4 linked regions of the Bombyx mori genome follow. The protein of the gene in region 3 purifies or fractionates together with the protein of the main gene of each other region. This does not show direct contact. Links are inferred from orthologs where the notes say so. Each region holds a gene or a part of one and is shown on either strand. Other genes may lie near its edges.

What was found.
Region 1: the proteins of survival of motor neuron-related-splicing factor 30 (region 3) and splicing factor 3B subunit 2 purify together in Homo sapiens (affinity purification with mass spectrometry; 3 studies listed by BioGRID and IntAct, with this or other methods). This does not show direct contact. The link is inferred for Bombyx mori from reciprocal best matches to the Homo sapiens genes SMNDC1 and SF3B2.
Region 2: the proteins of survival of motor neuron-related-splicing factor 30 (region 3) and splicing factor 3B subunit 1 purify together in Homo sapiens (co-immunoprecipitation; 5 studies listed by BioGRID and IntAct, with this or other methods). This does not show direct contact. The link is inferred for Bombyx mori from reciprocal best matches to the Homo sapiens genes SMNDC1 and SF3B1.
Region 4: the proteins of survival of motor neuron-related-splicing factor 30 (region 3) and splicing factor 3A subunit 3 purify together in Homo sapiens (affinity purification with mass spectrometry; 3 studies listed by BioGRID and IntAct, with this or other methods). This does not show direct contact. The link is inferred for Bombyx mori from reciprocal best matches to the Homo sapiens genes SMNDC1 and SF3A3.

Annotation. Positions count from the first base shown.
Region 1 is NC_085131.1:3,900,041-3,908,558, forward strand, and holds the start of splicing factor 3B subunit 2, read left to right. Parts: upstream 1-3,402; 5' UTR 3,403-3,778; coding exon 3,779-4,703; intron 4,704-6,100; coding exon 6,101-6,231; intron 6,232-6,773; coding exon 6,774-6,925; intron 6,926-7,718; coding exon 7,719-7,911; intron 7,912-8,206; coding exon 8,207-8,416; intron 8,417-8,518. UniProt on the Homo sapiens protein: Component of the 17S U2 SnRNP complex of the spliceosome, a large ribonucleoprotein complex that removes introns from transcribed pre-mRNAs.
Region 2 is NC_085116.1:8,408,410-8,415,578, reverse strand, and holds the end of splicing factor 3B subunit 1, read right to left. Parts: intron 6,885-7,169; coding exon 6,726-6,884; intron 5,379-6,725; coding exon 5,086-5,378; intron 3,902-5,085; coding exon 3,743-3,901; intron 3,639-3,742; coding exon 3,450-3,638; intron 3,337-3,449; coding exon 3,154-3,336; intron 2,895-3,153; coding exon 2,716-2,894; intron 2,633-2,715; coding exon 2,387-2,632; intron 1,636-2,386; coding exon 1,423-1,635; intron 1,233-1,422; coding exon 1,016-1,232; intron 490-1,015; coding exon 331-489; 3' UTR 150-330; downstream 1-149. UniProt on the Homo sapiens protein: Component of the 17S U2 SnRNP complex of the spliceosome, a large ribonucleoprotein complex that removes introns from transcribed pre-mRNAs.
Region 3 is NC_085111.1:9,513,775-9,522,406, reverse strand, and holds survival of motor neuron-related-splicing factor 30, read left to right. Parts: upstream 1-3,310; 5' UTR 3,311-3,482; coding exon 3,483-3,524; intron 3,525-3,600; coding exon 3,601-3,863; intron 3,864-3,983; coding exon 3,984-4,130; intron 4,131-5,443; coding exon 5,444-5,714; 3' UTR 5,715-7,779; downstream 7,780-8,632. UniProt on the Homo sapiens protein: Involved in spliceosome assembly.
Region 4 is NC_085112.1:8,794,733-8,803,559, forward strand, and holds the start of splicing factor 3A subunit 3, read right to left. Parts: upstream 6,097-8,827; 5' UTR 5,755-6,096; coding exon 5,659-5,754; intron 1,979-5,658; coding exon 1,931-1,978; intron 1,861-1,930; coding exon 1,702-1,860; intron 1,280-1,701; coding exon 1,207-1,279; intron 1,090-1,206; coding exon 998-1,089; intron 821-997; coding exon 599-820; intron 448-598; coding exon 287-447; intron 85-286; coding exon 1-84. UniProt on the Homo sapiens protein: Component of the 17S U2 SnRNP complex of the spliceosome, a large ribonucleoprotein complex that removes introns from transcribed pre-mRNAs.

The sequences.
Region 1 (8,518 bases), on a different chromosome or scaffold from region 3:
ATTTTGGCTTTATGAAGACAGTTTTTTTATATGATGTTGGTAGTGACGATTGATTGGGAAGGTTGTAAGAAGAATCAATCAGATTCTTTTTCAAAGTAGAAGGAGACGATACTACAGAAGAATAAGATCGATTGATAGGTGGATGTAATTTTGCAGATTCAGCATATGAAATCGAACTTTTGGCCATGGATTCTTTAATAGAGCGTTGTCTTGCATGTTCGGGGCAGCTCTTACTTATAGCTGTATGTGAGATTGATGAACAGTGTAAGCACTGAATCAAATCATCATCAACAGTACATGAATCTCCAGAGTGTTCCTGTCCACACTTAAAGCAGCGTGGCTTAGATCTACACTGGCTCTTAATATGACCATACCGGCAACAATTGTAACATTGTATGGTTGGGTAAATATATAAATCTACAGGCAATGCTGTATAGCACATATATATTCTAGTTGGTAAAATTTGTCCATCAAATGTAATGACCACCGTCTCTGTATCATTAAACACGGTATTACCATCTATAGTTTTTTTAACTTTTAATCTTCTAGTTTTTAAAATTCTACCACACCCTATTGGAACAGAAACATTTTCGATAATTTGCTCTGGGCTTAAATCAATAGGAATCCCTCTTACAATTCCCATTCGAGTGATGTTAAAAGTAGGTATAAGAGCTTTATATTTGTTAGCTGGTAATATAGAATTTTGGATAAAATTGTTGGCATCTGAATGGTTATTAAAAGCTAGAGAAAGCCTGTTTCTGCCAATTTTTTTTAAACTACCGTTGACTATATTTTGGAAGCTATTGTGTTTTAAAAATCTACCAAAAATGACAGGATGTAAACTTACATTGTCATTTGGAGAACTTATGATCTTACTAATGTGGACAACAAAGGGAGCTGCGTCAGAAGGTAAGTATAAACGATTAACATTATCTGAATTAGGTGTAACTGCGGCGTTGGAGTCAGATACAGTATGTGAAGATGGGGAAGAAGGAATATTATGTGGAACCGACTCAGTAACATTAGATTCACAAGAACAATCTGTGCCATGATCTAAATTTTTGTTGTTCCTCTTCCTTTTTTTATTGCAGTGTCTGCAAGTCTTAGGCGTATTTCTTTTACGTCTCAAAATCGACGTGCTATTTGACCCATCAGTATCCATACTGGAGTCATATGAAATAGTTACATGATGTGCGACCGCAGGGGGAGAACCCCCCGGGTCTTCAGGTTCATTCATGTACAGTAAAAGTAAAAAAAAAAAAAACTTACCCTATAAAAATATATATATAAACAAAAACTAAAATCTAAATATAAATAAAAGTATTTACAGCTTAAACAAACTTTCCTAATCTATTTACACAAAAATTATCAAATTATATTAAAACAAGAAAAAAAGGACACCCGCCACGATCGAAGTTCCCTCGCAAAAAAAGCCATTTTATTTAATTTTAAACTATTATTTTGGTGACGCAATAATTGACTTCCACACTAGCAAGTTAGCAATCTAATCAAACAAATTTGATAACAAAAAGGAAATTGTTCATCTGTTTTCAACAAGTTTTTATACCCATTCCCATTTGTCGTCTATTTTGACGTAGTATCTATTCATATTTAAGCTTATTAAACCTTTACCTTTGTTTTGCATTATCTATGATTCCAATTTGTCTCTTATTTAGTTGACTTAAAGGTCTTAGTTACCAGGTCATAAAATCCTTTTAAAAAAATTCTTATTTAGTTCCGGACTTTTTGGCGGGAACGCGAGGAGTGAAGTTGTGTGATTTGTTTTATTTTGTCTATTTAGTGTTTCTTCGGGTTTAAATGTGTAATAATGGTGGTTAATTAACTGTTTACTATCTGTGAAAGTGCACAAATGTGGGAAAATGAAACAAAGCCGCTGGACGTAACTTCTCGGGATCCTCCAAAAAGTCCACTGAAAAAGTCTTAGTAAATGACCACCATTTTACTGAGATTATATTTTATCCCATATCATCTCATTTCATCCCAGTTGATTAATGTCTCAAATTAATCATCTTCATTTCATTTCATTCCATAATATCATTTTTCATAAAAATATGAATATAAATTAAAATAAGATGTGACTTAAAGGTCTCAGTTACCAGGTCATAAAATCCGAAATCCCTTATTTAGTTCCCATGGCGCATTTTATCCGATTCAATCCGTTAATTTTTTTGAGGCCCTCTTCTTGGTTTACTAGCTTTTTATTTCCGAAATAAGCTGTAACGAATGAAACGTGACTATAGTGTCAACAATGTAAATCAGATAAAAAATGATAAAAATCGACGTCTTAATTAAGACTACTTTGTTAATTGTTTAAATTTTTCGACGGCAGCTTTAAATTTATACAACAAAAGTGCTGTTATGTACGCTGTTCATTCTGGTAAAAGCGTCAGAACGAGATAGACATTACTAGATTTATTCAACTTATTTAAATCAATAAATTTAACAAAAAATGGAATCTTATTATTAGATTCTACATAAGGCTCAAAAGCTTCTGCAAATTTTAAATATACTACGGTGAATATTACTCAATTTCAACTTTACTGCAAAGATAAAAAGAAGCTCTTTGATGTGCCAACATTGTCGAAGCGGATCAACGGCGTGAATCGCAATTCCGATTCGATGGTAGATTCAGCGAAGCACTGCTCTTGCTAGGGCTGATGCTCGCAAAGTCTCCTAGGCTAGGCCACGTGAACTCGCATACAAGTTCGGCGAAACTAACATAGCCGCTTGTGGTTACTAGCAATAGGTCACCAAAAAAAAATTTAATGAGCAATCCGAAGGTGATGGGATTTTTACAATAATTCTTATACGGTCTAGTTTTTTTAAATAATTTTTACCATTCAATGCATTAAACTTGGTTTACGGTCATAAACCTTTTGAGTTAAAAGTGATTTAAGTAGTTACTTACTTATAACCTCGATCTAGAAGATATATTCTCTCTAGAAAATATCTTCTCCTCATCACATGCCAAAGAGGGCTCAATGAAAGTGCTATCACAGGGATAGTGCCTATTTGCAAAGAAAAAACTATTCAGTGTGCGCACGCAATTTGTACGATCTGTAATAGTATAATTATTTACTTCCTGGTGGTACTAACTGGTGCTAGGGCTGGAAGGGTCTTGTCGGTCCGCGCAGGTGTATGCGGGCTCACCATGCCTATTTCTGCCGTGACGCAATTTGTTTCGGTTTGATGGGTGGTGCAGCCGTTGTATTGTAAAAAATGTAAAAACTCATATCCCAAGGTGGAAGGCGGCATTTACGTTGTTGAAGTCTATGAGCTTCTTTAAGCACTTAGCATTACGTGGGCCGTTAGCTCGTTCGTCCTTAAGCATTAAGAGAAAATATAATTCAAGGGAGGTTTGTTCGATATGTTTTAGTACTGTTTATTCGGAAACTATCTACTTGGAAACCTTTTTTTGGTTAAATCGATAGTTCTAACAGAAGACGATTGTCAAATTGACCTTCACAAAGTTTTACTAAAACCAAAGGCCAAAAAAGAACCGAAAAAGTGACGACTTAAACAACAGTAAGTATTATCTATAATTAAGCACATAGATTCCACATTATACCATAGACAAGACAGTCTCTGTGGTATGTTGACACTTATTGTCAAGCGCGTTAACCTCAAACAAATCAGTTTTGTTTTTTACTGTAAATTTATAAATGAATAGATCTTAATAATCACGAACTAAATCATACCTTTGTAGTTAAAAGTCTATTTTATACAGTGAATTCAGTAGCAGTACTGTGAATTAGCTATGGATGGTCCACCAGGGACCGGATCTACGAATAACAATGCTTCGGTGGGGCCTCCACCGGGGATGCCAAACTTTCCTCCGATGCCGCCACCACCGGGATCTATGGGACCGCCACCGGGGTCCATTGGACCGCCACCAGGAACTATGGGACCGCCACCAGGAACTATGGGACCGCCACCAGGAACTATGGGACCACCACCAGGAACTATGGGACCGCCACCAGGAGCTATGGGACCGCCACCGGGATCCATGGGGCCTCCACCAATGGGTCCGCCTGGACCACCACCTGTTAGCTCGTCTGGTGGACCTCCAAACATGCCGCCGGGAATAGGTCCACCTCCACCAGGAATGATGCCTCCGGGAATGGGACCACCGCCAATGGGGCCGCCTGGAATGGGTCCACCTCCAATGGGCCCCCCGGGTATGGGACCTCCTGGTATGGGTCCACCCGGTATGGGACCTCCCGGAATGGGTCCTCCCGGAATGGGACCTCCAGGAATGGGTCCACCCCGAATGCCACCAAATATGATGCGTAATAAGAATAATTATAATAATCAAAATATGGACATGGGACCACCTGGGATGAGACCACCTATGGGACCATGGGATGGACCACCAGGCCCACCTGGTCCACCTGGCCCCCCTGGGCCTGGGTGGGGAATGCAAAGTGATGGTCCGCCAGGATGGAATGATCAAGATGATGATGATGAAGAAGAAGAAGAAGAAGATGGGGAAGAAGATTTATCCTCTGACCAACATTCTTCTCTGCCATCACTCTTGACCATGAAGATTGAAACACCAGAAGAATTTAAAAATAAACAGGGAAATGCTGGAGGTGTAGTACTCCCAAAGGCTCTGGAAGAAGCTCTTGCTTACAAAGACCAAAGACAAGCAGCTCTTGGTAGTGAAGAAGATAAAGAAACAGGTAACTTTTTTATTTTATAGATTGGTGAACAAGCCATGGCCCACACATTATTAAACTATCAATGGAGCCCGTTGGCATCACAACATGAAAGCCACCACACCATTATATATGGTTGAAGGCTCAATTGTATGTTAGAACTGCCATCCCGATTTAAATTCACTTAGGTGTTTCAGAATTTTTCTTAAAAATGTATTCTTTTTCAATGGACTTATTATTGATAATGAAACAAAAAACGAATAATAAAATGAAATACAAAACATACTGATACTCTCTTCTTAATCATTTCTATGTTATTTTTATAGTTAATCATTGTCAATAGCCAAGTCAATGTCTGTAATCGATTTTAAGTTTCATTTTTACTAGGAGATGACTACAAATTCATAACTATTTGGAATTTCTAAAAGTCTGAGCACATTATTACTAATTATGATGATTGTAAACTTAAACATCCATCTTAACTAAGTTTATGTTTCTTAGCCTAAATGAAAATAGCCCAGCCTTTATTCTTTTATCCAGTATCTCTATATATCTATCACGGCAATCTAAATTACTTCCATATTTAATAAATTTTTTTTTTATCACACTGAAAATTTTTATGGTTTAATTTCATATTTTAATTGTGATTTTATTGCTTCCAATGTTTTGAACAACTACAGTTTTTCTGGTCACTGATGTAAACTGTAAAACTGTAGCTGTAGCTTTAAATATACCTATATCATGCAACATCTGCAGAAAATACTAGCCCATAGACATCAACACATAAAAGCCACTACCCAACATCAGACATGAATTGTAAGTCTAAATTTCATAGTAGAACAGCTGCCCCACCCTTCAAACCGAAACACATTACTGCTTCATGGCAGAAATAGGCAAGGTGATGGTACACACTCGTGCATGCTCACAGCACACTCTACTACCAGTATATGTTGCTCTTTTAAGATCCAAAATGTTCCCTACATATTTCTTTCAAAAATCCTATAGACATTCTGAAAAAAATTGAGGTAACTACATTGGCAAACAAGCACTTTACTTTGAGTTCTATTTTGTAAAAAAGGGTCAGTTATAAAGTTATATATTTTGTATATAAAATAGCACACTTACCTTGTTGGTGGTGGTAGGACCTCTTGTGAGTTCGCATGGGTAGGTACCACCACCCTGCCTATTTCTGCTGTGAAGCAGTAATGCGTTTCGGTTTGAAGGGTGGGGCAGCTGTTGTAACTATACGTGAGACCTTAGAACTTATATCTCAAGGTGGGTGGCGCATTTACGTTGTAGATGTCTATGGGCTCTAGTAACCACTTAACACTAGGTCGGCTGTGAGATCGTGCACCCATCTAAGCAATAAAAAAAATAGCACATTAAACAGTACCTTATAATGATGTTTTGCCCCTATACAGATGTGCAAAAAGACATGGAAGCACCGCCAGCTCCAGTGATCAGTACGGAGTATGACGTGGAAGAGGATGAACAGTCAGACGATGAAAACATTCCTGATCCACCGATGCCACCAGTAATTTCCAAACAAGAGGTACTTTTTATTAAAGTATATATTAGTTATCAGCAAGCAAAATAACCTTAAAAAAAAAATAGGATACATATTTCATTGAGTTAGAAATATTGAAATGCCCTTATTTTTCAGGTGTGAACGATAAACACTAGATATCATATTATTCATATGATATCAAACATATTACTCTCTAAGCTTATGATCTGAATATTGTTGCATACAAGCAAGTTTACTTTGAAAACCGGAAGGATATTTCTTACATTTCCTATTCTTTTATAGATACTGTTTATGTACAGTCTGACTAAAAATATTGTGTAGAAAAAAAACAAAATAAAAGATATACATTTAATCTCTAACTCTCTTAAAATCTTTTGTAAGTATAAGCAAAGACCCAGACTTTATAATCCAAAAACCATAAACTCAATGATCGTAAATACTATTGTGTATATGAAAATTCATCATCGTATTCATAATATTGATTTAAGTATTTTTTTAAAACATGTTACTTGCGTTACAAGATTAAGAAATAAAGATTTTATTTAATTCTCATTTTACTTCCTCAGTCCCAAGCTAGCAAATCCAATAAAAACAAAAGAAAGAAAAAGAAAAAGAAGCTGGCTAAACAGAAACGCAATGAAGAGTCTAAGACAAAGAACAACGCACAAGAAGAAAAGAGATCCAGTGACAAAGAAAATGAAAAAGAAGCAGATATTGAGTGAGTGTAAAAAAGCTTTTATATTTTAAATTGCACTATAAGATTTTATTTTCTGTTACCGTTTACTGAAAACCACTTTTTGTTCACTTGTGTCATTTCAATTATTCTGACCGCGACTTGCTCTCTGCTTAACGTTAAACTTTTTTGGTAAATAATAATAAAATAATTGCGTTAGAATATGGTTTCATTTGACAAGCGCGTATAGAAATCAGTAGCTGAAGTCGTCGTGACCTAAAGGAAAAGATGTCCGGTGACCGCCCGGTGAAGATCGTGTTGAGTGATGCACCGATTTTCGAATCCCAGGCGGCTACCAATTTTTCTAATGAGATACGTACTCAACAAATGTTCACGATTGACTTCCACGGTGAAGGAATAACATCGTGTAATAAAAATCAAACCCACAAAATTATAATTTGCGTAATTACTGGTGGTAGGACCTCTTGTGAGTCCGCGCGGTTAGATACCATTACCCTGTTTATTTCTGCCGTGAAGCAGTAATGCGTTTCGGTTTGAAGGATGGGCAGCCGCTGTAACTATACTTGAGGCCTTAGAAATTATATCTCAAGGTGGGGGGCGCATTTGCGTCGTAGATGTCTATGGGCTTCAGTAACCACTTAACACCAGGTGATCTGTGAGCTCGTCCACACACCTAAGCAATAAATAAATAAAAGCTTGCTTAAGTTATAGTTGGGAATGGTCCAAAAGTATCCTTCAATATCTCAAATTTCGTACCATCCAATTTTGGATAGTTTAACTTACATATTAAATACTTATTTAAAAAATAATTAACCAGATACGTGCAAGAAAACATACAGTTTCATGAAATGGAACCAATGTACCGTCAGTTCCATCGGATACTGGAAGCATTTAAAATTTCGGAGAAAAAGGAAGAGACGATCAAAGATGAGGGTATGGATGCTCCAAAACCAACAAAACATCAGGATAAAGTGCAAGACCAGTTCGCAGCGGATGATGAGGCAGCTGAGGTATGTAAATAACCAAATTCATCTTAAAATTACCAACTTTACATACATAACGATAAATTAAGTCATAAAAACATAAAAACTTTCTAATAAATTTGTTCCACTTTTGGATTTAACAACATTTTACACTACACTGCAATTACTGTACTAACACTACCTTTGACAGCAACTTTGAAATGCCAATACATACATCAGAATTTTAATTGACGATTCAATAAAAATATTAAATTTAATTAAAATTTTCACGAACCTTTCACATAACTGCTAGCAAACTACTGTATTGTATAAATGTTCTCAGAAAAACGCAGCCGACGAAAAGGAGCGCCTATCAAAACGCAAACTAAAAAAATTGTCGCGTTTGTCAGTGGCCGAACTGAAGCAGCTAGTGGCTCGACCCGACGTCGTGGAAATGTACGACGTGACCGCGCGGGATCCCAAACTACTTGTCCAGCTAAAGGCACACAGGAACACTGTCCAAGTACCCAGACATTGGTGTTACAAGAGGAAGGTGAGTAGGATAAAAGAAACGCTATCAAAACTAATTTAACTAAAACTAAATAGACTCCAGAAAACAGGTAGAAAGATTTTCATGTTGCCACAGCTTGAATAG
Region 2 (7,169 bases), on a different chromosome or scaffold from region 3:
TGGTCGTCGCCAATTTATATAATAGTCTCTAAAATGCATATAAAACTCGTGCAAGCAATTAACAAAATGTAATTAAATTTAACACCGCAGTCTCGTCAGAGGAGTTCTTCGCTTTAGATTGTGAGGTTACAAATAATGTACTAGCTAAATATGTTTTATTGTTTATTTTTAACACTTAAACTTTGTTTTTACAGTTTCAAATGCAGGATGGTTCAATTACACATGAACCTACGATAAAAACATTAAATAAGAACAATATCTTTGCATTATCATTTATTTTTCAGTAAACCCAGAAGTGTTTCTTAATTATAACTATCTTAATATAATGTTTTAAAGCAGATAATCTAATTCGTATCTAATGAAGTGATTATTTGGGTCATTTTGTATTCTGGGATATCCTGCAACAAGTGCGTCCTGTCCTCCGATGTAAAGCGTATTGTAAATTTTCCAATAAACGTCGCGTACTTTCCTCGCTGGATGGAACAGGCCCTGTGAATGGTCATGCACTTCATTAAAGTTTTTTTGTAAATTAGTACTTTAATTTCAATATCCACAAAATCCATATCCACAAAAGTTATAACATCATAACATCTAGACATACATAATAATAGAATTTAGGATTTATAACTAGAAGATACAGAGCGACCTAAACTTTAGTAGTATTTTACATTTCCTGTCGACACCAGAAAGTCATATATTTTTACACCTAGTTCTTAGCTAGGGTACTGATGGAGCTGCCTATATGTGTCGTGCCTGCGATTTTAAGCACAAGGGCAGCCATTATTCAAATTAAGTTGAGACTTACAAATGTTGCAATTAATTGGGTGGCGTTTTCGATAGTATAGTCTCTTAACGGTATTGGGAACCGTTTAACATAACATACTCCGTGACCACATTCGAAGTGTATATAGATGACAATATTTTATATCACATATACTTCAGAAACATGAAAATAGTAGTTAGAAGACGTATCTTTTAATTAACTCTTAAAAATGTTTTGATGAATATTACAAACCTGTAATGCATATTGAAGTATTTTAATGGGACCTAGGGCAACTCGCATGCCCTCAACAGCGTCCATGAAGGCTTGCACCAGATGCGGTGATGTCTCAAAAATATTTGGCCAAACATGATTTAATAGATGTACTAAGGCATCTTCACAGCCGAAACCATACACGCCGAGCGACATATGTTTTATGGCAGCGCAAGCCGTTTGTCTGTGTACTAAATCTCTGTGAAATTTAATAATCAATTTTATTGGGGTTTGAGGAAATATTGATTAAGCTTAGAAAATAAAAAGCTTCTTTATACTAATATCCAATGAATCTTAAATAACAACGTATCTATATTACTATTCAATACTGATCTAATTTATACAACGAAAAAGGAAAATGTTTTTGGGGCAGAAAACATGTAACATACCGATCCATAAGCGCGTCTTCCAATAATGGGCAAACTGCATAAATGTAATCCTTGCCCATTTCTCCAATGTACTCGAAAAGGAAAGATAGTGATTTGAGCACACCGTTTTGAACATTTAATTCCGGTACTCTGTATTCATTCATTAAAGCAGGTAGCACTGTGAAAGGTGAACAGGTCTCTGCAACTATAGCAATAGCGACCGTTGTGCACACTCTGAAAATTAATTACATCGTTAAATATCTCTCTTAGTGCATTAGTTACACGAACTCCATCCATACACAGAAAACATCGATCAGTTTACTAGAACCGATTCGTAAGTGTCTAAAGGAAGCGTGAGAATGGTACTTTGAAAAAGCGGCGCGATACGATAACCCACTTTTTCTGTCCATCGCTAATTCGACTCAGGCGACGGAAAGGGCAAAGTCGCCGTCACCGAAATATGTCTTATCAGATCCCTTTTGGGTGCTTCTATTCTAGGCTCCAAGCATCAGTCACCGCCCTCGTCCAACTCTTCGATTACGACACAGTTCGACGAGCGAAATAACACCCACTGAGTTTTTCGCCGGATTTTCTCAGTGGGTCGCGGTTCCAAGTCGGTGGTAGATTCTGTGAATAACCAATTTTAGCGAGATCTCTCAGGTTGAGCCCTGTGAGCTGACCTAGCAACCATGGCATCGCTGAAATAGCCCCTTAGGCTACCAGAGAATATGTAGGGAAATAAAATAAGTTTACTGTAAATTTAGATGGGCCAATGTGATCATAATATATCTGAAAAAATTATATCAACTTCCTGTGACCATATTATTATTAAGAATTTATTTTGGATATTTTGGTAAAACGGGTTCTTTTATTTTGATTACCCTATGTAAATGATAATAATAATAACAAACATGCAGGATCTAACGTATCCTACTCATTTTAATAAGCTAACTAATCTACTAATAATTATTAATTAAATAATGACCTGTTCTGTCTCTCTTGCACTTTCAGATTGTTAAGTAAGGTTGCGAGTACGTCATGAGGACCGATGGCTTTAGCAATATAACCAAAGGTATTTACAGTCGCTCGTCTAATTGCCTTCTTATGAGCCTTTAATAGTTCAAGCAATTCAAAACATATTCTCATCCATTCTCTGGCCGACACAAATTCCGGTCCTCTGTCTGCAATACGACCCACTAAATCAATACAATTCTCTTGTACTTTTTCATGCCTGGAATTAAAAAAAAACATATTAAAGATTTAATTTAAAGATTCTATGAAGTTATCAAGTCACTATTTATAGAACAAGGTTACCTGTTTTTCAAAATGGGTGTAAGCCTAGGCAGGAGATCCTTTATTGGTGGGGTCATCTTTGTCATTCCAATAACATTGACAATTGCTTTTAATGCACCAAGTATAGAGCCTAGCACTTCAGGATATTCCTCTCCCAAGTACTCATACAGTACAACACCAAGATGCCCCATTAACTTTTCCTATGAAATAGCAAGCAATTAAAATTTTCAAAATCAATTGGTAATGATGTTATAAATTAAGTATATTTGGATACATTTCCTAATGTATCCAAATATACTTCAAGACAAATTAAATTCGGTGTATGGACCCCCGTTAACTTTGCGACAGTTGAGCTTGTTTGCCCATTTTGTAAAATATATTACGAAAAAATTATACTACATACTAATTTAGTAAGGAAGCATAGCGTACAAGAGGATATGGCAAAGAAAATGTGATTACCTCCTGACAAGTTTTCATCACGACAGCGATCCGAGAAATGAGATCGGCAGCTTGTTGCCGAACTTTAGCAGACTTGTTGTTCATACGCCAAAGAATAATACCACATATCTGTGGTAAATAGGGCTTTACGCGTTTTCCCAATTGATTCACGATTGTTCCAAAACCGTTCAGCATCACAACATCCTATCGAAAAATCACAATTTGAATCATATAAAGTTAGAGATTACTTACAAAAGATTTGTGTCACGACTTAAGTGTTTAAAAATCAGACATTTAAACTTTTTTTAATGTTTTACCTCAGTTGTCTGTTCTTGGAATGCATACAATATTCCATCGATAAGAGCTTCTTCGAGCTTAGAATCAATGTCTGCTGCTCCTAAATTAGCGAGAATCTTTTCAATGGACTCCATCACCATTTTTCTATACTGCTCATTGTCGTCTTTTAGATCATCAACAATTCTGTTGATAATTTCTGATGCACCGACCTGCGATCAATAGTTTCACAATGTAAGCAATGCCTGATTGGGAAAATGATTACTTTTGAGTGAATTAATGGAAATACAATGATTCTGGTCGAAATAGTTAGTACCTTGTTTGCAATTTCCACTGTGGTGTCGACAAGCTGGCGATAGTTTCGTCTGTCGAGGGCCATACGATGGTTCCAGAAGTGTTTAAAGAAATGAGGCAATATTTCATCCATTATGTATTGAGGCTCAACACCGTCGGTACCGCAACATTGTTTTACTACCTAAAATATTAAGTACAATGTGTATTAAATTACATTACAGTGATTATTGGTTTTGGTGAGATAATTAGTATATGACTGATGCATTATCTAAGACTTACAGTCTAAGCTAATAGGCATGTTTCATGTTAGACATTTGACTTTATTATTTTATCCGCAACAGCAACAAAGTTGCTTCCTAATGATAACTAATGATAACATTCTCTCTTTTCTCTATTCTATTCTTCACAATCCTGATGCCCCTATCTATCTCCGTGAACGCTTTGAATATCTGATTCCTGACGGCAAAGTTAGTCGACAAGCCACTTCTCTTCTTTTAAAAACTCCCATACACAGCTCTAGTCGCTATAGTGGCTCTTTCACAATACAAGCAGTGCGATTATGGAATTCTCTCCCTCAACCTATTCGTGCTAGTTCCTCTCTAGAAGTTTTTAAGAGTCAAATGAAGAAACATTTCCTGTCACTTTAATCGTATTTAAGTTATTGTTTTATGTATTTTTATTTATATGTATTTTTCATTTAATATTAGATTATTTTTTTAATGCTTAGTTAAAAATCATGCTTTAATAGCTCTTATATTGTACACTATTCCCCTCTTATACATCGTATTTCTCTCTGATAATGGTTTGCTGGAAGAAAACTCATGAATGAGTTAAGCTCGCCTTTGTACATAGTATTTAGAATTCTTTAAATCTGTTTTTATTGTATTTTCTTTTTGTGTACAATAAGTATAAATAAAAATAAAATAACTCATTAGGAAGCAACTTTTTTGTAGAAACAACATCGTAATTCGTTGTAAAACAAGAGAGTAGAGATCACTATTTTCCAATGGATATACAGATGTGTGTGCATATTATGTGTATGCAACAACTGGCCATCTCTCTCGCATATCTATAAATCATATTACATTAATAGCAATAATGTTATGAAACATTAAATTGTTTTTTATTTTATTATTTGAAATCTTTTGAATTGATTTGATATTGATTTGAATAGATATTGGTTAAAATCTTTTGTTATTTGAAAATTAACCCCACCCCATACCACTGCAAAATGTTTCTAAATCAGAAACTTTAATTAAGAAATGTTTATATGTAAACTTTCTTAAAACATTTATAGGCGATAGAAACATGAAAAAATCAATAAGCACCAAAAATAGAATTACAAAAGAAAAAAAAGAGACATACTTTTAAGACGATTTTTTTCATTTCTTCATCGGGCGACTGGAACTCACGAATAAGAATTAGCATCACTTCTCGTGTGTAGTAATTCGCGTATTCTGCATCCATGAGAGGGATGAGGTATCCGATGGCTTTCAGGAATGCAGCCAGACCTTTACCACGATGCGTACGAATACCTTTCCACAGAGGTTTGAGCACGGAATCGAAGGACTCGATACCGTAGGGCGTGGCGGCCTCGGCCAGAGCCGCGCTCGCCAGCGCCGTGATCGTTCGGACCTTCTGTTGTTCGTCCACCAGACCTATTGCATAAAATGAATTATTTAAATACTGTAATTTAAGAATCTTTTTTTTCCCTACCTAAGCTGAAAGCCTTGAGAAGCTATATCAGCGTAACCTTAACTAGTAGGTAAGCTCACGGGGCTCAAACCTGACGACGTTGCTAACACGAACCCTAGCAAGAGCCGTGCTTCGCAGAATCTACCACCGGATCGGAAACGCGACCCACTGAGAAGATTCGGCGAGAAACTCAGTGGGCTGTGTCTGAGGGTTAATTTACTCGTCGAGCCCTTCGTCGCAAGCGACGGGTTCGACAAGAACGATGGCCGGTGCTTGAGGTACCTAAAAGCACCGTTAGTGGATCCGGAGGATCCGAAATGACGTGTTTAGAATCAACTAGACAACCGAGACATTAGTTATGTTTAATGTAAAACTGAGCGGCGGTACAGACGATTCTATTGTGTCCATTAATCGCTAACACTAGATCGCATCTGTTCATCAACGAAAATAAAATAGTATGTAGTTAAGAATAAAAGTTGAATGTCTTACTTAGAATACTAATGCAAAAAATAAGTATTATCTACCTATTATTACAAAATATCACCAAATATTGTGTCAACAAATACATGGCGTAACTATATCTTTGGGCTACATTATATTTATAAATCGAATAGAGGTAAATATTATTGTTAAATAATAATTTATAATAATATCAATTTTATTTTTATTTTATTGCCGTAGTAGGCAGACGAGCATACGGCCCACCTGATGTTGAGTAGTTACCGTCGCTCATAGACGTCAGCAATGCCAGGGGCAGAGCCAGGCCGCTGCCTGCCGCTTAATACTCTCCACAAGCCTCGTTTGAAGAAGGACATGTCATAGCGCTCGGGAAAAACCGGGACCTTATTACATTATTACAGTAAATGTACAAATACAAAAATATATGTTTATACTAATGATCGTCGTCAAGTCATTAATGCAAAGTGATATCCAATTATGTTAATTGATTGGTCTTTAATAATGTGTAAAGTTTCAAATTAATCAGATGTTTCTTAGTTATTAAAAATTACTTTATAGGATTACACAGGTAAAAATACGGGTTAAACTAATAGAGGCATATTAAGAATACACTGATTAGATTATATTCTATGGTTTACGGAAAAGATTGGTGTTTTTTTTTTAGTATAGTTACAACAGCTGCCCCGCCTTTCAAACCGAAACGCATTACTGGTTCACGGCAGAAATAGGCAGGGTGGTGGTACCTACCCGTCCGGACTCACAAGAGGTTCTATCACCAGGAACCACTAGGTGTTGTGGCATTCCGAAAGTTTCAGTAAATCCTTAAAATATAATTAAAATATTAATCTTACCATGTTCAATAATTTCAACAAGAGATTTCAAATGTGGCAGAATAGCACAGCCCATCAGAATAGCAATTTGTTGCACAATCTTTATTCCTGTGTGACGTGCTTGCCAGGATTTCTTAGATCTGCACACAGCTTTTAAAAATGGCAATAAAGATGGAATACCTGGAAAAAAAAAGATTTCTTTTATGGTGTTGAAGATGTGTTATGTTAACAACAGCCTATGTTAAAAATAGCTTATTCTTAGGATAGGAATATAATAATAGGGAATAGCAAGTATGCAAACTTGAACAAATTATTATAATTTCCCCATAGACTTAACCATACCACTAACTCAAATCATCATGTTCATAAGACTGTCAAAAAGATTGACAGCAAACTATAAAACAGATTAAATTACATGTGTTAGTACGGACCCTGTCAGTATTTTTTTGTTTTTAGAGGAAACAC
Region 3 (8,632 bases):
AAATTAAAATGTTTTGCTATGGATTTTGACCTTGACCATGCATCATTCCTACGAGCACTTAACCTTAAGTGTTTGTGGACCATTTCTTAGAAAATCATAATTCAAAATTCGAGAATTTTAAAACATTCACCACTTTCGCTATTCGGTATCTCGGTTATGGGAAAAAGGTTGTAAGGCTACAACGAGCTTAATTTACGTTGTATATCAGAATAACGTGGTATTTTAATTAACAACTGATAGGTTATAGTTTCCGGTGCATCGTACAATACCTACATTGAAAAATAATGAAAGTAGTAGAGTAGTTGAAATTATGACAAAGTAATTACAGTACATTAATAAATTATGCAACCAGCTGTAACAATGAACCTAAAACTAAAAACCTTACAAAATAATAATTACAATAATAATTGCCATAAGCGGCAATCTATTTTTATATAGTGCTTTTAAAAAATTGTATTTTTAATACCTTTTTTGAAAAATATTGTGTAATTAATAATAACTTAATACGTGATTCGCTACACTACAAACAGCTACTAGACTTAACATGTCCGCGGAACTAAACAGCTTCAAACAGCTACTAGACTTAATATGTCCGCGGAACTAAACAGCTACAAACTACAAACAGCTACTAGACTTAACATGTTCGTGAAACTAAACAGTTCCGCGAACATGTTTACTGGAACTAGTTCCGACACTCAAAAGAACGATGTCATGTTCAATCCAGTTCCGAACATGATTAGCGCACGTCTAGTTTGTACCTATAGTCGGATTTTTTATTAGACGAAGTAAACTGACGTTTACTGTGTTGTCAGTTTTTGATGAAATAAAAATAGTGTTGTGACAAAGTGAACGATTGAAAAAACTCCTGAATTAATGAAATTGCCTCGATTGTCTAGTGAATAGTTAGTGTGCCGAACTGCCGATATCGGGCACGGGGTTCGAATTTTAGCCGTGCTTTGTACATACCAACGAGTTTTCGACGAAACATTATGTTCCTATGGTATCTACCTGTACTGAATACCGACTGTTTTAAACATTAAGAAAAACATTGCGAGGAAGCTTGTAAGACTGTCCTATTTCCAATGCATCATATAGTTGAAACTATAGATGTATAAAATATAACAATTATAGGTACATAGGTAATGAAAATAAAAAAAACTGATTGTAGTTACATACTACTAGTAACATATTATTATATTGGATCACTTTAATACAATTTTATTGTAAAATATAAATAATATTCTTTTATAGTTTGAAATTAATGATTAACTCTTCACACTCATTGTTCATTTATGTGATTGAACGAGAACTGAACGCATCACTATTACTTTAAATATAGCAACATTATTTCACAAAGTGACATTAGCTACTGTCAGCTGGCTTCGTCTAATTAAAAATCCGACTAATTTTTTATTAGACGAAGTAAACTGACGTTTACTGTGTTGTCAGTTTTTGATGAAATAAAAATAGTGTTGTGACAAAGTGAACGATTGAAAAAACTCCTGAATTAATGAAATTGCCTCGATTGTCTAGTGAATAGTTAGTGTGCCGAACTGCCGATATCGGGCACGGGGTTCGAATTTTAGCCGTGCTTTGTACATACCAACGAGTTTTCGACGAAACATTATGTTCCTATGGTATCTACCTGTACTGAATACCGACTGTTTTAAACATTAAGAAAAACATTGCGAGGAAGCTTGTAAGACTGTCCTATTTCCAATGCATCATATAGTTGAAACTATAGATGTATAAAATATAACAATTATAGGTACATAGGTAATGAAAATAAAAAAAACTGATTGTAGTTACATACTACTAGTAACATATTATTATATTGGATCACTTTAATACAATTTTATTGTAAAATATAAATAATATTCTTTTATAGTTTGAAATTAATGATTAACTCTTCACACTCATTGTTCATTTATGTGATTGAACGAGAACTGAACGCATCACTATTACTTTAAATATAGCAACATTATTTCACAAAGTGACATTAGCTACTGTCAGCTGGCTTCGTCTAATTAAAAATCCGACTATTACATATTTATATTTATTTTATTTTTAATTTTTTAAATTAAATTGTATACCAATTAATTGCTCCTTCAGGATTTATATTTGTTTTTTTTTCACGACTAAAACCGCGTAGAAAGTTTAGCCATTATAGTTGACGCATGCGCAGTACACATATTTTGCATACATTTATTCAACTAATAAAAATAGTAAATTAAACAAAAAACGAGTAACTTCGAAAGAGAACAAACGTGTTTTATATAAGAACAATCGAAAATGAATATTTACGAGTCATTAAGGATGAAAAATATTAAAAATTGCATTAGAGGGGCTAACTTGTAGGTATATTTTTAATTTTTTTTTTTAAATAAATAAATGCAGAACAAACAATTATTAACAGTGAACAATCATGAACAAATGATGAACAAACGAATTAATAGAAAATAAGTATAAAATAGGAAAAAAATATTTTTTTGAGGGGCTAACTTCATTCACCTGGCTATGTCAGCGTAACCCTAACTTTAGTAGGTGAGCTCACGGGGCTCAAACCTGGTGAAGTAGGTGAGCTCACGGGGCTAGTAGTAGTTTTATTTTTCCAAATGGAAAGGCACAGGTATCATACCACACAGCGTAATCTTTTATATGTATTTTTTATTTTATGAAATATGATACTATGAAATGAATTGAAGTTGATTAATCTATGAAACATGGCATGAAATGAAATGAGATCTCAGTAAAATGGCGGTCATTTACTGAGATTTTTTCAGTGGACTTTTTGGAGGATCCCGAGAAGTTTATGCCATAGATATGATATTTAAATATTTTTTTAAGGGATTTTATGAACTAGTAACAAAGACCTTTAGGTCAAACATTTAAACATAATTTATGCTATACACAGGTTAATTTAATGAAAGTTTATCTCATTTAGTTGGAGTTTGAATATAAATGTAATGGCAGGCAACACTTGACACATGATTACAGATTTTGAATATTAGAATTATTTTAAATGCTTAATAAACAGATGATTGTCTTCTCGTAAGAAAAAGTCAGTACTTTTAATCTAGATATGGTCAAAGCAACATGTAAGAGTTTTACAAAAATATAAAGATAATAATTTTATAATGGTGTAACAGTGTTCAAACTATCTGCAATATAATTATAATGAAGCAGTGTTTTTTTAAATAGCCCCTCATTACCTACAGAACCCAATCCCCTCAAATTTAAACGTCCAACATTTTTCATAAAAATAAGTTTATAAATTAAAATAAGACATGCCTTAAAAGTGTTAGTTACCAGGTCATAAAAATCCTTAAATAAAAAAAAGTTGAGAGCACTGATTGTCAGATTTGTCTGATGTCAAGCAATGACAAGCATTGAAGCAACAGCAGTAAAAAGTTGAAGCGATAAATTATCAAGCAAGCAAATTAAGCATTTGTCGCCTGGTTGATTGAATTTAATATATAACTATGGCCGAAGATCTACGAAATTATACCTTACAATTGCAACAGGTAGGTAATATACATTATACCCAAAATATTTTTGTTTACCAAATATTTTACTCACTCTTGATGGTATTTTTCTTAGGTGGAGGCAGCGTTATTAACGGATCCACATAACGAAGAACTTTTGAAGTTAAAGGCTGATTTAGAAGAAGTAATTGAATTGACACAAGATTTAATTAAGACTCAAGACGGTGATTCAAAAGTCTCTAATATTCATGGTTCTAGTAATAGTGATGATGTTACAGCGTCCCTGTTGGCTGCAGAGGAACGAGATCCTGCAACTAGGCACTATTCTAAATGGATTATTGGCGAAAAATGTTTGGCAAAATGGAGAGCTGATGGAATGTAAGAATTAAAAAATGCTTTATTTCTGGAACTACTGTACACTTTTTACATTACAGTACTTATAAGTTAAACATATTGTATGTGAATTAAACCGATATTATAGTGATCTTAAAATTCTAGGTTTTATGAGGCTCTCATTGAGGAGGTGCTAGAAGACAATTTAAAAGTAAAATTTGATGGATACACAACCTTGGAAGTAGTCTCATTGACTGATATAAAGCCTTTAAATTCAGGAAGTAAAAGACCACATAGTACTGATGAGAGCAAGTAAGTAGAAATAAATCTCCTTGTTTTATATTTCATGAGATACATTATAATGAATACCAAATTGACCCTTGAAATACAACTGTCATCAAATAACAAAAATACTTACAATGTACTTAATAAAATTATAATATTAAATACTTCAATTATATTTATATATATATTATTAATATTCCATTTGAATCTCATGACTACTGTATCATTTGGTCCATGTTGTATAGCTGTGCAGTGAGTTTTACTGTTTTTAGATATAATGTGATTCTTGTCAAGTCTCAATCGTTGTGTTTACTGAGTAAAAAAAGTTATTTTAAAAACATTCAGTTCATGAATAATGTTAGATAGGTTAGAATTAATTCTTTAATAACATTTGCATTTTCGCATTGGCAGTAAACACTGGTTACAAAATTTGTTTAAAATCAGAGTTATTGTGATTTACATTATTTTAATTGAGAATGACAATTTTAACTTGAAGATATGCTTTGTCATTGGTATCATTTAACCTGAAATAAAAATGGAATGGATAAATGAAAATGGAAATGGAAATTTAAATGGATAAATTTTGAATTTACTTGTAATTGTGTAAAATTTATTGGCAGCAGCCTTCTTAGTATTCTTTGTGTTCCGTACCATATTTTATTTTCCCTGATGCTGTAATGTACCAAGCAAGCACTGAAATAATACTTTCATCTACATCATTTTGTAATTTTTGCATGTTCAAAACATATTTAAAGCTACTTTTACAGTATAATCTTGTAATTACTATTTTCATGATCAAAAAATCAGTAGTAAAAAGTATTAAGAAACAACAGAATCAAAGATGAAATGAAAATATTCAATGTGAGATTAAACCGTAATTTCAATTAAAATTGTTATTGTTGTGGAAAATGATTAAATTTGAATATTTGTTTCAGACTTATTGTATGATTAATTTTTTTATTTAATTCTAATAGTATTGTTGTAAATTGTAGAAAGAAATACATTAATTGATGTTTTTCCACTTTATATTTAGTGCTTACTGGAGCCCATAGAAATCACATAATTAAATATAAACATTGACCTTACCACTAGTATATATAAGATAGGAATGATCCATATGAATTAGGAACTTAGGTAGGAAATAAAGATAAAGATAGTACAAGTAGTTCACTGAGTCTGGGGTCATATCTGTATCTGATATCTTTTGTGTGCTTTTTCCCCAACCTATTATGATAAGAGCATAAAAGATAACATCCACTGAAAGTCTAGTGAAGGAGAACTCCACTTTAAAAAAAAACAGATGGAATTTAAATTCACTAATATAATGTTTTTCTTTCCAGACATGGCAAAGGGTATAACAGAGAGTATTTAAAGAAAAAAAAACAGAAGAAACAACAAAGATTCAAACAGATTGAAGAAGAACGAGAATCTGAGAAGAATAAGTGGTTATCATTTCATACTAAGGCTTCTAAAAAACCTGGTGTCAGAACAAAAAGTATATTTGCTTCTCCTGATAATCTGACAGGGAGAGTAGGAATTGGTACTTGTGGTATATCAGGTAAACCAATGACTGAGTATACACCTGGCGAAAAGTGGAAGAAAGGAGGATAAAAGCTTCAAAATAATTATAATTGTATCATTGTTTAGTTTTAATAGTCAACATATAGAAAATGGCAGAATATCGTTAAACTTCATCAAAACATTTATTTACTAGTGCAAAGGTTCAAATCTGGCCAGAGGCTGAACATAAATAATATTGAAAACATATTTCCGGGACTATTCTTCATTTATGAATGCACAGATAAATAAACTTTATTGTTAATTTTGCTGTAACTCTTTACATTAATTTATTTCATCTAATGAAATTATCAGTATGGGTCTCCCGAAATATTTATACCATAACATGGCTTTAGATTTTTAATGCAGAAAATGAGAGCTCATGTTCTACCGATTTTTTTAAAATAATTGAGCAATAAGTTATAGTCTAGATTCCAGAGGATTATACGGCAAGGTAAAAGCATAAAATTATTATTTATCTCAATAGTGGCCCTTAAGACCAGCCTTAGCAACTATCATTTACAATATTTTCTCAATGAAACAATGATGAAATATCCTATTTGTCTGATTTGATATAGAATATAGTCACTTGAAGAGGAAAACGTCTTATCTTGAAAAAATATTGCTGATGATACCCTAAGCCTGTATATAGTTAAGGTAGTCAATAATCGGAGGTGACTTACAACGAAAGATCTAAAGTACTAGATTGTGTCGTAATCAGTGGTAGGGTTGGGATCGCATATTTTTTTCTCTTGTGTTAATACTGCAATTTTCTGTAAATGTTTTACAGTACCAACCTATTGTATTATATGAGCTCTGTTATTGTCTAACGATATTTTGTCGAACTTTTAGACAGGGTGTAAGGAAACGGCTCTTGAAGTTGAACCGGTATAAATTACTTGTTTCTTAACATAAATGAAGAATAAAAAAACTTGGCTAATTACAAAATATAATTATTGTAAATACTGCACAATATAGAACTAATGTGTTCTTGGTAATTGCGTTGAGCCACTCATAGAATGTTGATGGTTGCCGACGCCGGGTGCCTATAATATATGTAAACTATAAGATATATACCTTTTTTTATTTATTGCTTAGGTTGGTGGACGAGTTTACGGCCCACCTGGTGTTAAGCGGTTACCGGAGCCCATAGACATATACATCGTAAATGTGACACCCACCTTGAGATATAAATTCTAAGGTCTCAGTATAGTTACAACGATTGCCCCACCCTTCAAACCGAAACGCATTACTGCTTCACGGCAGAAATAGGCAGGTGGTGGTACCTACCCGCGCGGACTCACAAGAGGTCCTACCACCAGTAATTATGCAAATTATAATTTAGCGGATTTTATTTTTATTACACGATGTTATTCTTTCACAGTGAAAGTCAATCGTGAATATTGTTGAGTACGTATTTCATTAGAAAAATTGGTACCCGCCTGAGATTGCACCGGTATTCGACCGGTGCATCGCTCAACACGAATGCACCGGACGTCTTATCCTTTACGCCACGACGACTTCTAATGTGTTGTGATTGGTATTACAAAAGTGCTACAATAATATTAAAGGTTTTATTTAATTTAGTTTTTTAAAAGGTAAACGAGCATATGGCTAATACTATTGGAAGTTGTCATTGTGGCATGGACATCAGCAATGCTTGGGGCATATCTAAGTTGCTGCCCGTATATAAATAAAAATTTAATACAAATATATCTTAAAGCGAATGAAAAAAAAAACAAGAATGCTATAAAGTTTTTCGAATCAGTTTTTTTGTGTTATAGTGTTAAGAATCGCTTGCATCCCATCTGTGGCCCGGAGCTGTTCCCTCACACCTTGTGATTATATATGTTTGTAGTTTTGTAAAGGCCTAACTCACAAAGGTCAATAACAGTTAATGTGAGATAATTCCTTATAGGAATCCATTTAACTGTAAAACGACAAACTTTGGTTTTACAGCTTAATCACCACATGCCATTGTCGTTGTGTAACAGGTGATTAAGTAAACGATGTTTACGAATAAGCCGGTCATAAATCAGTTATGTGCGTGTCGAATATGACAGTAATACGCGTGTTTATTGAACTGGTAAAGCGGAAATAAAGTTTACATTTTACACAACTAAGTTGTTTTATTAAATCTTGCCTTCTTCCATCGCTTCATGGGTAAACACAGTAATAGAACATCTGCACAATCTTAAATGAGGCTGTTTTCAAGATGTTTGGCTAATGGCATTTTATTAAACGGGTCCTTCTAATGCCCTCCTAATGGTAATTTATTTAACGGGTCCTTACCACGGTTTTCACTTTTGATGAGTACCTACCCTTCATCACGATCACGGGTCCGCCGTCAGACTATCAGTTTATCTGTGATCATACCGCTTGCAACAGCGCCGAAATATCGGGAATTCATTAAAATTGAAAATCGTGGTAAGAAACTATGGTAAATAATAGTGTGCGTAATGTAGATAGTCACGAAAGTTTAAAACAATTCGTAATAAATAGCGTATTTTTTTTTGAAACAATCAATTTTTAAGCGGAATCTGCATGTTTTACATATTTTTTACCGAGAGAAATGGGGTATCTTCCAGGTACCATTATCACTATATAGTCAGCATACCTCTCAGTAGGTATGGACCATTCAACCTCAGAGTGAGAGAGTTGGCAATAAGGCAACAAAGTAGTGGTGGAACAATCCCACCCTGTAGGCATCGTCTTAGTATACTCATTCTATCACCATGTTTGAAATAAAACTTAAAACGCGATTTCCTTTTAGCTTTCCGTTTAGCCTCCTTATATTTGGTCGAGATTTTAAATTTCTACATGATATATGATAGGAAATTGCGTCGTAGCGAATAAATATGTCTTAAGTTTTGTTATCCGCTGTGATTTACTAGATTCCTGAATAGGTACTGCAGAAATTCGTTCTTTTGCCTTCCCTTTTAAGACGACCTCGACAGATGCTAGGTCCCTAT
Region 4 (8,827 bases), on a different chromosome or scaffold from region 3:
TGTTGTGTGGTAGCCTTTGCCTTATTTCCCTTTTTCGCAACAAGAGACTTGTCAAGGGCTGTTTGACCTTTAGTGCTAAACAACCTAGAATAAAAAAAATATTAAATGTTTTTTTATAGTATTGATAAGAGGACGAGCTCAAAGCCGACCTGCTGTGAAGTAGTTACCGGAGCCCATAGACATCTATAACGTAAATACGGCCACCCACCTTGAGATATGAGTTTTAAGGTCTCAGTATAGTTACAATGTTGTAAACTTACGAAAAAAAAGCTAATATAATACTCACCTCTGTGCTCTTTCTTCCAAAGTTCCACCACATTTTAAGCCGAGAGCCATAAGAGCTGATTTTAATCTGTCCAGGCCAAGAGACGCCAACTCTTCCCATGATGAAAAAGCCGACAGATCTAAATGCGCCCCCACATTTGTTAAAGCTCCACCAGTTTCTTTCTACAAGAATTTAAATGTCAATGTTACCAGTACTAATCATTTTCTAAATTTATTTTCAAAATTTAATTTCAATTCAATATATAATAATACTAAACAAAATTATTTTCATAAAATGAAGTACACAATTATATTTTTATAATTTCATACTTACAGGCCATCCTGGAAATGTACCAGACTCCCATTGTTTTAAAAACTCCTGATGCCCTAGAGCCATTTCTTGAGCCTGATCCAAAAGAGGTTTAACTCTGGACACAAAATCTTTCATATAAGTGAGCAATGCACGAATGTAATTCCTGTATTCACTATTCTTCCTTTCACGAGGTATGTCAAAGAGATGATCAAATATGCTCAAGTATGTAATATAATCTACTTTCTGTAACAAAAATACTAGTCTTTTTGGTTTGGTCTTAAAATCCTACAATCAACATGCTGGCTTTTAAATGACTATATATGACTATATATAAATATGTTCCAAATAAACTATATGAACATTCACATTGTACTGTATAATTTATATAACTTTTATTATATAAAACAATGAAATACTTGCCTCAATACCTTTCAAGTTAATGTACTTTTCATAACACGAATGTAGGTCCAAATACTTTCCATAGCCTTCTTCATCAGTGAACTCGACAGGAACTGAAAATTTATAATTATTTTTTTCTAATACAATTAATAATAAAATAACATAACTTCTGTTGAAAACAACAATGATGACAATATGTACAAAAAATATTTAATATTTCCAACAAATACCTGTGTAATCCTCAGCAGGATTTTCCCTTTGATTTGCCAACTCTTCAAATTCTACAGACATGGGTACAGATATCTACAACAGAATACATCATGCATATGAAATAAATTTTAAATATATTGGGTACTGATGAAGGTGTTTATGAAAAATGTTAGGGTGCTAATCTGACCCATAAAATTTAAATAGATCCTTAACCTGTCTTACTCATCGCTTTTACATTCATGTATTTATTTTCTGGATCCCAATCAAGTGTCACTCCTCGAGACAGCTAGCAAAATTAAACAACTGGCTGCATTCTGGCAAGGGAGTCAGGATGCTTGTATCCCACACATCCCACATAAACATGAATTAAATCAAAATATAAAAAAATGGTTTATTAATCAAATTATTATGCAAAATTTATACAAGTAATAACTTTTCAGGTGTAAAAATTTCTACATCTACATAATAGATGCACTAAATCACAAGTATTTTCTATTATAATTATTGTAACTCACTTCATTTGGATGTTTTCTATGAAACTCTTTAATTTGCTTAAGTCTCGAATAGAACTCCTGGAACTCATGTGGACCTGACAATGCTGATATTTCTTCTTTTCGTAATCCATCTTTATCTTCATACAATTCTTTAAGTCTTATAGAGGCTTCAATATATCTCTAGAAACAATTAATATATGCTAAAAGACTAGTGGTTACACAAACTGTAAATTTAATTGTATATACATACATCATGTAAATTCTTCAAACGATGATCAGCATTTATAGTCTCCCGATGCTGAAGAAACATAACCATTATAATATATTTCAGCATAGTATGTAGTATATGCAAAAAAAAATTCAAATTCTATAACATACAGTGTACAATTATAAAACAACAAGTATTAATTAGGTTTACATCAAAAATAAATATATTCCATAGCAAATACTTTCATCATGAAGCAATTCTGATTTCCTATACATTAGAGAAAAAAATTACATTTCCTCAAGTCTAACATTAATTCCTACGATCATGAGCTCTGTTAGATATATAATATTTATTTTTGGCTTAGAGAAATAATGCATAATTATTAATTATGCATAATCAGTTACAAGTACCTAAGGAGAAAAAACGAAAAAAAGAGATGACGAAATAAAAGAGCGCTGGAAGATATATTTTGAAAAATTAATGAATGAGGAGAACGACTGGAATAGAGTGATTAATAGGAAGCCAGAGAACGTCGGATTTGTGAATGAGATTAGTATGTATGAAGTTAGAGAAGCAGTGAGAAGTATGAAAAGCGGAAAATCGGAAGGACCAGACGGTATACCAGTGGAAGTATGGAAGATACTGGGAGAAGACGGATATAAGTGGCTGACTTTATTCTTCAATAAGCTGCTGCAAGAAGAAGTGATCCCTACGGAATGGAGCATCAGTACGCTGGTGCCCATATACAAAAATAAAGGGGATGTGCAAGACTGTGGCAGCTATCGGGGAATAAAGCTTATGTCTCATAGTATGAAAGTTTGGGAGAAAGTGATAGAAAAGCGATTGCGAGATGAAAGTGAGATCACCCAAAACCAGTTCGGGTTCATGCCTGGTCGCGGGACAACGGACGCCATATTTGCACTACGCCAAGTGTGCGAAAAACATCGCGACGTGCACAGGAATCTGCATATGGTGTTCGTTGATCTAGAAAAAGCGTACGACCGAGTACCTAGAGTAGTTTTGTGGTGGGCATTGAATGAGAAAGGTATACCTGGTAAGTATGTGAGGTTAATCTGTGCCATGTACAGTCGAGCCAGGACGTATGTACGAACCGCCGCGGGGAATTCCGACGAGTTCAATGTGGCAGTGGGCTTACACCAAGGGTCTGCACTAAGTCCCTATCTCTTCCTGCTTGTGATGGATGCCTTGACATCGGAGATACAGGAAGAGCCCCCTTGGTGTATGCTGTTTGTCGATGACATAGTACTCGTCGGAGAAAACGGGCTCGAGGTCCAAAACATACTGGAGAAATGGCGATGCAAGTTGGAGAGTGTTGGCCTAAAAATCAGCAGATCGAAAACCGAACATCTGTTCTGTGATTTTGGCGGTCTCTCCAATTTTACACCCATTTCCCTCGACGGAACACCTTTGCCAGTATGTCAAGACTTCCGATACCTAGGGTCTGTTATCCAAAGCGACGGTGAACTGGATCGTACTGTGAGGCACAGAATTGACGCAGGATGGATGAAATGGCGGCAGGTCACGGGCACCATATGTGACTCGCACATCCCTCTTCCCCTAAAAGGGAAGATATATAAGACCTTAATAAGGCCTGCCGTCTTGTATGGATCAGCTTGTTGGACAACGAAAGTGGCGGATGAAAGGCGATTGCATGCAGCAGAGATGCGAATGTTGCGATGGATGTGTGGAGTAACGAGAATGGATAGAATACGGAATGAATATGTTAGAGGAAGTCTGAAAGTGGCACCTGTGACAGAGAAGCTGAGGAGTGCACGTTTGGGATGGTATGGACATGTGATGAGACGGAATGAAAATGAGGTTGTTAAGAGAGTGTTAACTATGAATGTGGAAGGATTTAGAGGAAGAGGTAGACCTAAGAAGAAATGGATGGATTGTGTGAAAGACGATATGGGTAGGAGGGGAGTGAGCGAAGAAATGGTATATGATAGAAGAGTATGGAAGGAGAAAACATGTTGCGCCGACCCCAGGTGACTGGGAGAAGGGCAGGATAATGATGATATGTAATTACATAATAATGCAATTTGTTGATTTAGAAAAAGCGTATGATAGGGTTCCCCGTGAGGTTTTGTGGTGGAGCATGAAAGTGAAAGGAGTGCCAGGGAAATACCAACGGCTTGTTCGAGCTATGTACGGTAGAGCTAGTACGTACGTACGCTCCGCAGCTGGCAATAGCGACGAGTTCAGTGTGGCGGTAGGCTTACACCAGGGATCAGCTTTAAGCCCTTACCTGTTCATCCTAATAATGGATGCCCTAACATCGGACATACAGGAAGAGGCGCCTTGGTGTATGCTGTTCGCCGACGACATTGTTCTCGTTGGAGAGGAAGGGCCTGAGATACAGAGGAGATTGGCAAAATGGAAAGAAAGGTTGGAAAACGTGGGTTTGAAGATCTGTCGAACAAAAACCAAGCACATGTTTTGTGATTTTGGTGGTTCTTCAGACTTCACGCCAATCGACTTCAAGTACCTCGGCTCTATACTCCAGAACGACGGCAACATAGACCGGGACGTCGCAAATCGAATAAACGCTGGTTGGATGAAATGGCGACAGGTCTCTGCAACAGCATGCGATCGTAGAATGCCCCTTCAGCTCAAGGGCAAAATTTACAAAACGATCATTAGACCTGTCGTGCTGTATGGATCTGAGTGTTGGGCGACGAAAGTTAAGCAAAGCATGAAAGAGGAGTGCATGCGGCAGAGATGCGAATGTTGAGATGGATGTGTGGAGTGACAAGAATGGATAAGATAAAGAATGAGTATATCAGAGGAAGTGTGAAAGTGGCCCCGGTAAACAACAAATTAAGGAGCGGACGGTTAGCGTGGTATGGACATGTGATGCGTAGAGAGAAGATGCATGTGACTAGGAGATGTATGGAAATGGTAGTGCAAGGTAGAGGGGGAAGAGGTCGACCAAAGAAGACATGGATGGAGTGTGTGAATGACGATATGAGAGAGAGAGGAGTGAGTGTTGAGATGACGGCTGATAGAAGAGAATGGAAGAGAAAAATTAGCTGTGCCGACCCCACATAGTGGGATAAGGTGGAGAAAAAGAAGAAGAAATAATGCATAAGCCCACAGCCTAAATAGTATTAAATGGTTACTTGTACATTAAGACATTAATGCCACAAAATAAGAGTCTACTAGAGGCTTCAGTTCTGACTGGTGTGTAGAATAGCTTCAAGACAGAAACTAACAAAGTTGTAGTGCCTAATAGTACCATACAAGGTGTCCCTAATGGGACAAACCAAATCAACAATAAATCAAGCTGAAACATTGTTATAGATGGAACAATGCAGATCACATTAAAAATGTAAAAAATCTAAGTTGTAATTAGTAGTTTCATAACAAAACTAACTTATTAATTGTTTCATCTGTTCGATAACAGCCCTGAATTTATACAACAAAGGTACCATTCATTCAGCAGTTCATTCAAATGTTAAATGCATCAGAATTAGACATTTAATTTTAAACAAATACATTTAGTTCATTTCTAAAAAATAAATACAACAAAAAATGTAACCATATTACTATGTGCAATAGGTGTACTAGGTGATTGTTACTAAGTTTCACCTTAATGTACAAACAAAAAAATCTTTGAAGGGGTATTCATGTGTGTATGTATTTCAATAAGCTAACATCAAGCAACTGTTTTTAATTTATTAACCTCAATAAGGCACCCGCACCCCTTAGGTAAATCCAATCTACAGTGATCATGTAACATGGCTTACCCCAGTTTTTTTGTGAAGAATTTCTTTGACCATTGCGTCCATGGTTCTTTCCCTTTCCTCATGGTAGCTTCGTTGTTGCTCTAAAATTGTTTCCATTTTTAAAGGTTATAGAAATTGTTTTATGTCAATCACCTTGTAAAATACAATAATATTAAAATAATGATTAATGATTTTGAAGTTTAAATTATGTGAGAAAATATATGGTAGCATACAAAATATGCTTCAACTCAGTTGAATCAACTGTACTAAATTTACGTTACTGAGTATTGAAATCAATATTTTAGATAATAACAATAATGAAGAATCAAATCATCAACGTTTTTTAGATATATTTTATTCATTGAAGTAGTATGTATGAAATGTATACGTAAACCATAGATACAGTGTGACCATCTCTTAACTATAGATCCTGCCTTATGCCGGCCACTGACATGCGCGCAAATATTCGTACATTGTACGAATGTTTGCGCGCATGTGAAAGGCCGTCAAACATTCATTCGCAAACCTAGCGGCCGTGCAAATGGGTTCGCATACTCAATTTGCGAACCCGTTTGCGCTTCCTCCTACACTTGTTTACGAATGTCTCACGAATTTCTCCTCCTTTTTAATTCGTCAATAGAACATTGAAGAGAAAAAGAGTTTTGAATTCTTTCCCAGACATCATTAACAGCCATGCGGTTTTTATGGGATTTCTTTTGATGAAGATACGCTACACAGTAGACGTGAAAAACTATGAAAATGGCGATTCGTCCGTTACATTCGCAATCGTCGGCGCAACTGGGCAAACGAATGTGTGAGAGACTACGCGAAGGTTCGCGGTTCGCGCGCTTTGATGTCTGTTAAAAACCGACACAGCTTGGAAAACCACGAATGTGGCGAAAACTTTGCATAATCATTTGCAAATGTCGTCCTACACTTGCGGGTTTGCGTATTCGTGCGCATGTGAGTGACCGGTGTAAGAGTCCAATCCTGCCAAAATGGCAAGATCCTGCCACATATGGTCACACTGCATAGATATTTTTTGGTACAATTTTTCCTTACTAGGAAAAGCAAAGAGATCTAAACCCATACAATCTTGTCTGTTCTAAAAATCATAGATATTAATAGAGATACAACTAGGATTTTTTTAAGGGCCTGGATTTAAGTCTTTTAAACCAGATAGCTGTTTGAATTAATAGTAACAAAGATAATTTATCTTAATTATATAACTTAGTTTTTATTTATTGTTTTACTGAACCATAAGATTACTGCGACAAGTCTCGAGATCTTTGATAAAACTCGGTAGGCATCGGCTTTTTTTTCGAAGTCCCTGCATTTCCGAAGTCCATGAGCAACTACAGCCACTCAACACCAGGTGGGTTGTTTGATGAGCTGCCTACAACAGCAAATGGAAGAATATTACAACGTATAATTTGATAAAAAATACCTTTTATCGCAATGCAATATCTAAATCATCATGCCATGGCGAAGCTATCATTCATAAAATACAATGAAAACATTTATGTAGTGCTAGAGATATAATCATTATTATATTTTTTTTAATTTCCGAATGGAAATATGAACAACATTAAAGACATGCATATTGGTTCTAGAAGGAAGAGGTAAGGAGAATCATCTCATAAGGGAGAAAAAATTAAAGTGTCCAGCTGTATGCTATAAATCAGTTCAAAAACCTCTCACAATCGCGCTGGTGTAGACAACGGATATGGTATAAATGTAGCAATCATTGAACTGAAGTATGCGGAGTTAAAAAAATAATATAATTTCGACGAAATTTCGTTTATTATTGATAATTTCAACAACTTACGGTGTACAAAATACTACAGTAAATATAACCATAAAAAATTAAGTATTACAAGAAAACGTGTACCTTACCTTTTGTGATTTTATTTCGTAATCTGTGAATGGTATAATTATTGATTTAGAAAAAGTATCTGTCAAACCTACTCTCTAATAATATTTGGCGGTTCCTTGAAATTATACCTTGATGCTAATGTAGCGTTACCCTAATTTAATACATTTCGACGGACAGTTTTCATATAGATACCTACACAGTTCTACTCTACCCTCCATTGGTATTATTTGTTAGTGATGTGCAGAGTTCGCCTTTTTTTGCATTAGAATTTCGAATCATTGATTCGAGATTAATGATCCAGAAATTCGGTACACTGCAACGCGCTTATGAAAATTACCGCGTACGTTTTCAAAAGAGTAAATCCTTTTAAAAAAATTATGGTTTCAATGAATTCAAATAAATCATCAGAATTTCAAGCTTGGTTATATTATAAAATTCTTTTGATATTATAAAGTTATGACACTTAAATTTCTTTCATTTTACAGTGAATAAGTAGGTAATTACTTAGTACAGTACAACAGTGGTAGCTATAAGTCACTAGATAGTAAAGATGGGTTAATACCGATATTTGTCAATATTAGCTAATACGAATATATTCATGATGTAATATTATAATACCTTAACTAATACGTAAATATATCCTGATATCTTAATAAACTTCGATAAAACGGGTAAACGAGTTAAACCTAGTACGGTATTCATGAAATACGTTAATAATCATAGTTATTACACATAAATTAGTTATTAAATGATTATAAATAGTATATTGTATCTAGGAATTTGACTTCATACTAAATATTTTACAAGTACTACTGGTGGTAGGACCTATTGTGAGTCCGCGCGGGTAGGCATCGGCCTGCCTATTTCTGCCGTGAAGCAGTAATGCGTTTCGGTTTGAAGGGTGGGGCAGCCGTTGTAACTATACTTGAGACCTTAGAACTTATATCTCAAAGTGGGTGGCGCATTTACGTCGTAGATGTCTAGGGGCTCCAGTTACCACTTAACACCAGGTGGGCTGTGAGCTCATCCACCCTTCTAGCAATAAAAAAAAAAAGGAATATTATGTACATTAAAATGAACATTATTATTAAATCAGAATTTGGTCAACATTGTTCATAAATATAAACAACAAGTTAGTAATATTATTTATTTCTTATTGGTGCATAAAAACATCAGCTTTTTTATTTTTTCTACCGAAAGACTGGTACGTCGCTCAGAGTGAGTATTCCAGATTCCGAAAAAAACCTCTGACACGGTACTGAGGTGGATAGTAGGTACACAACAGTTATAATATTATAATCCACGAACCGTTTG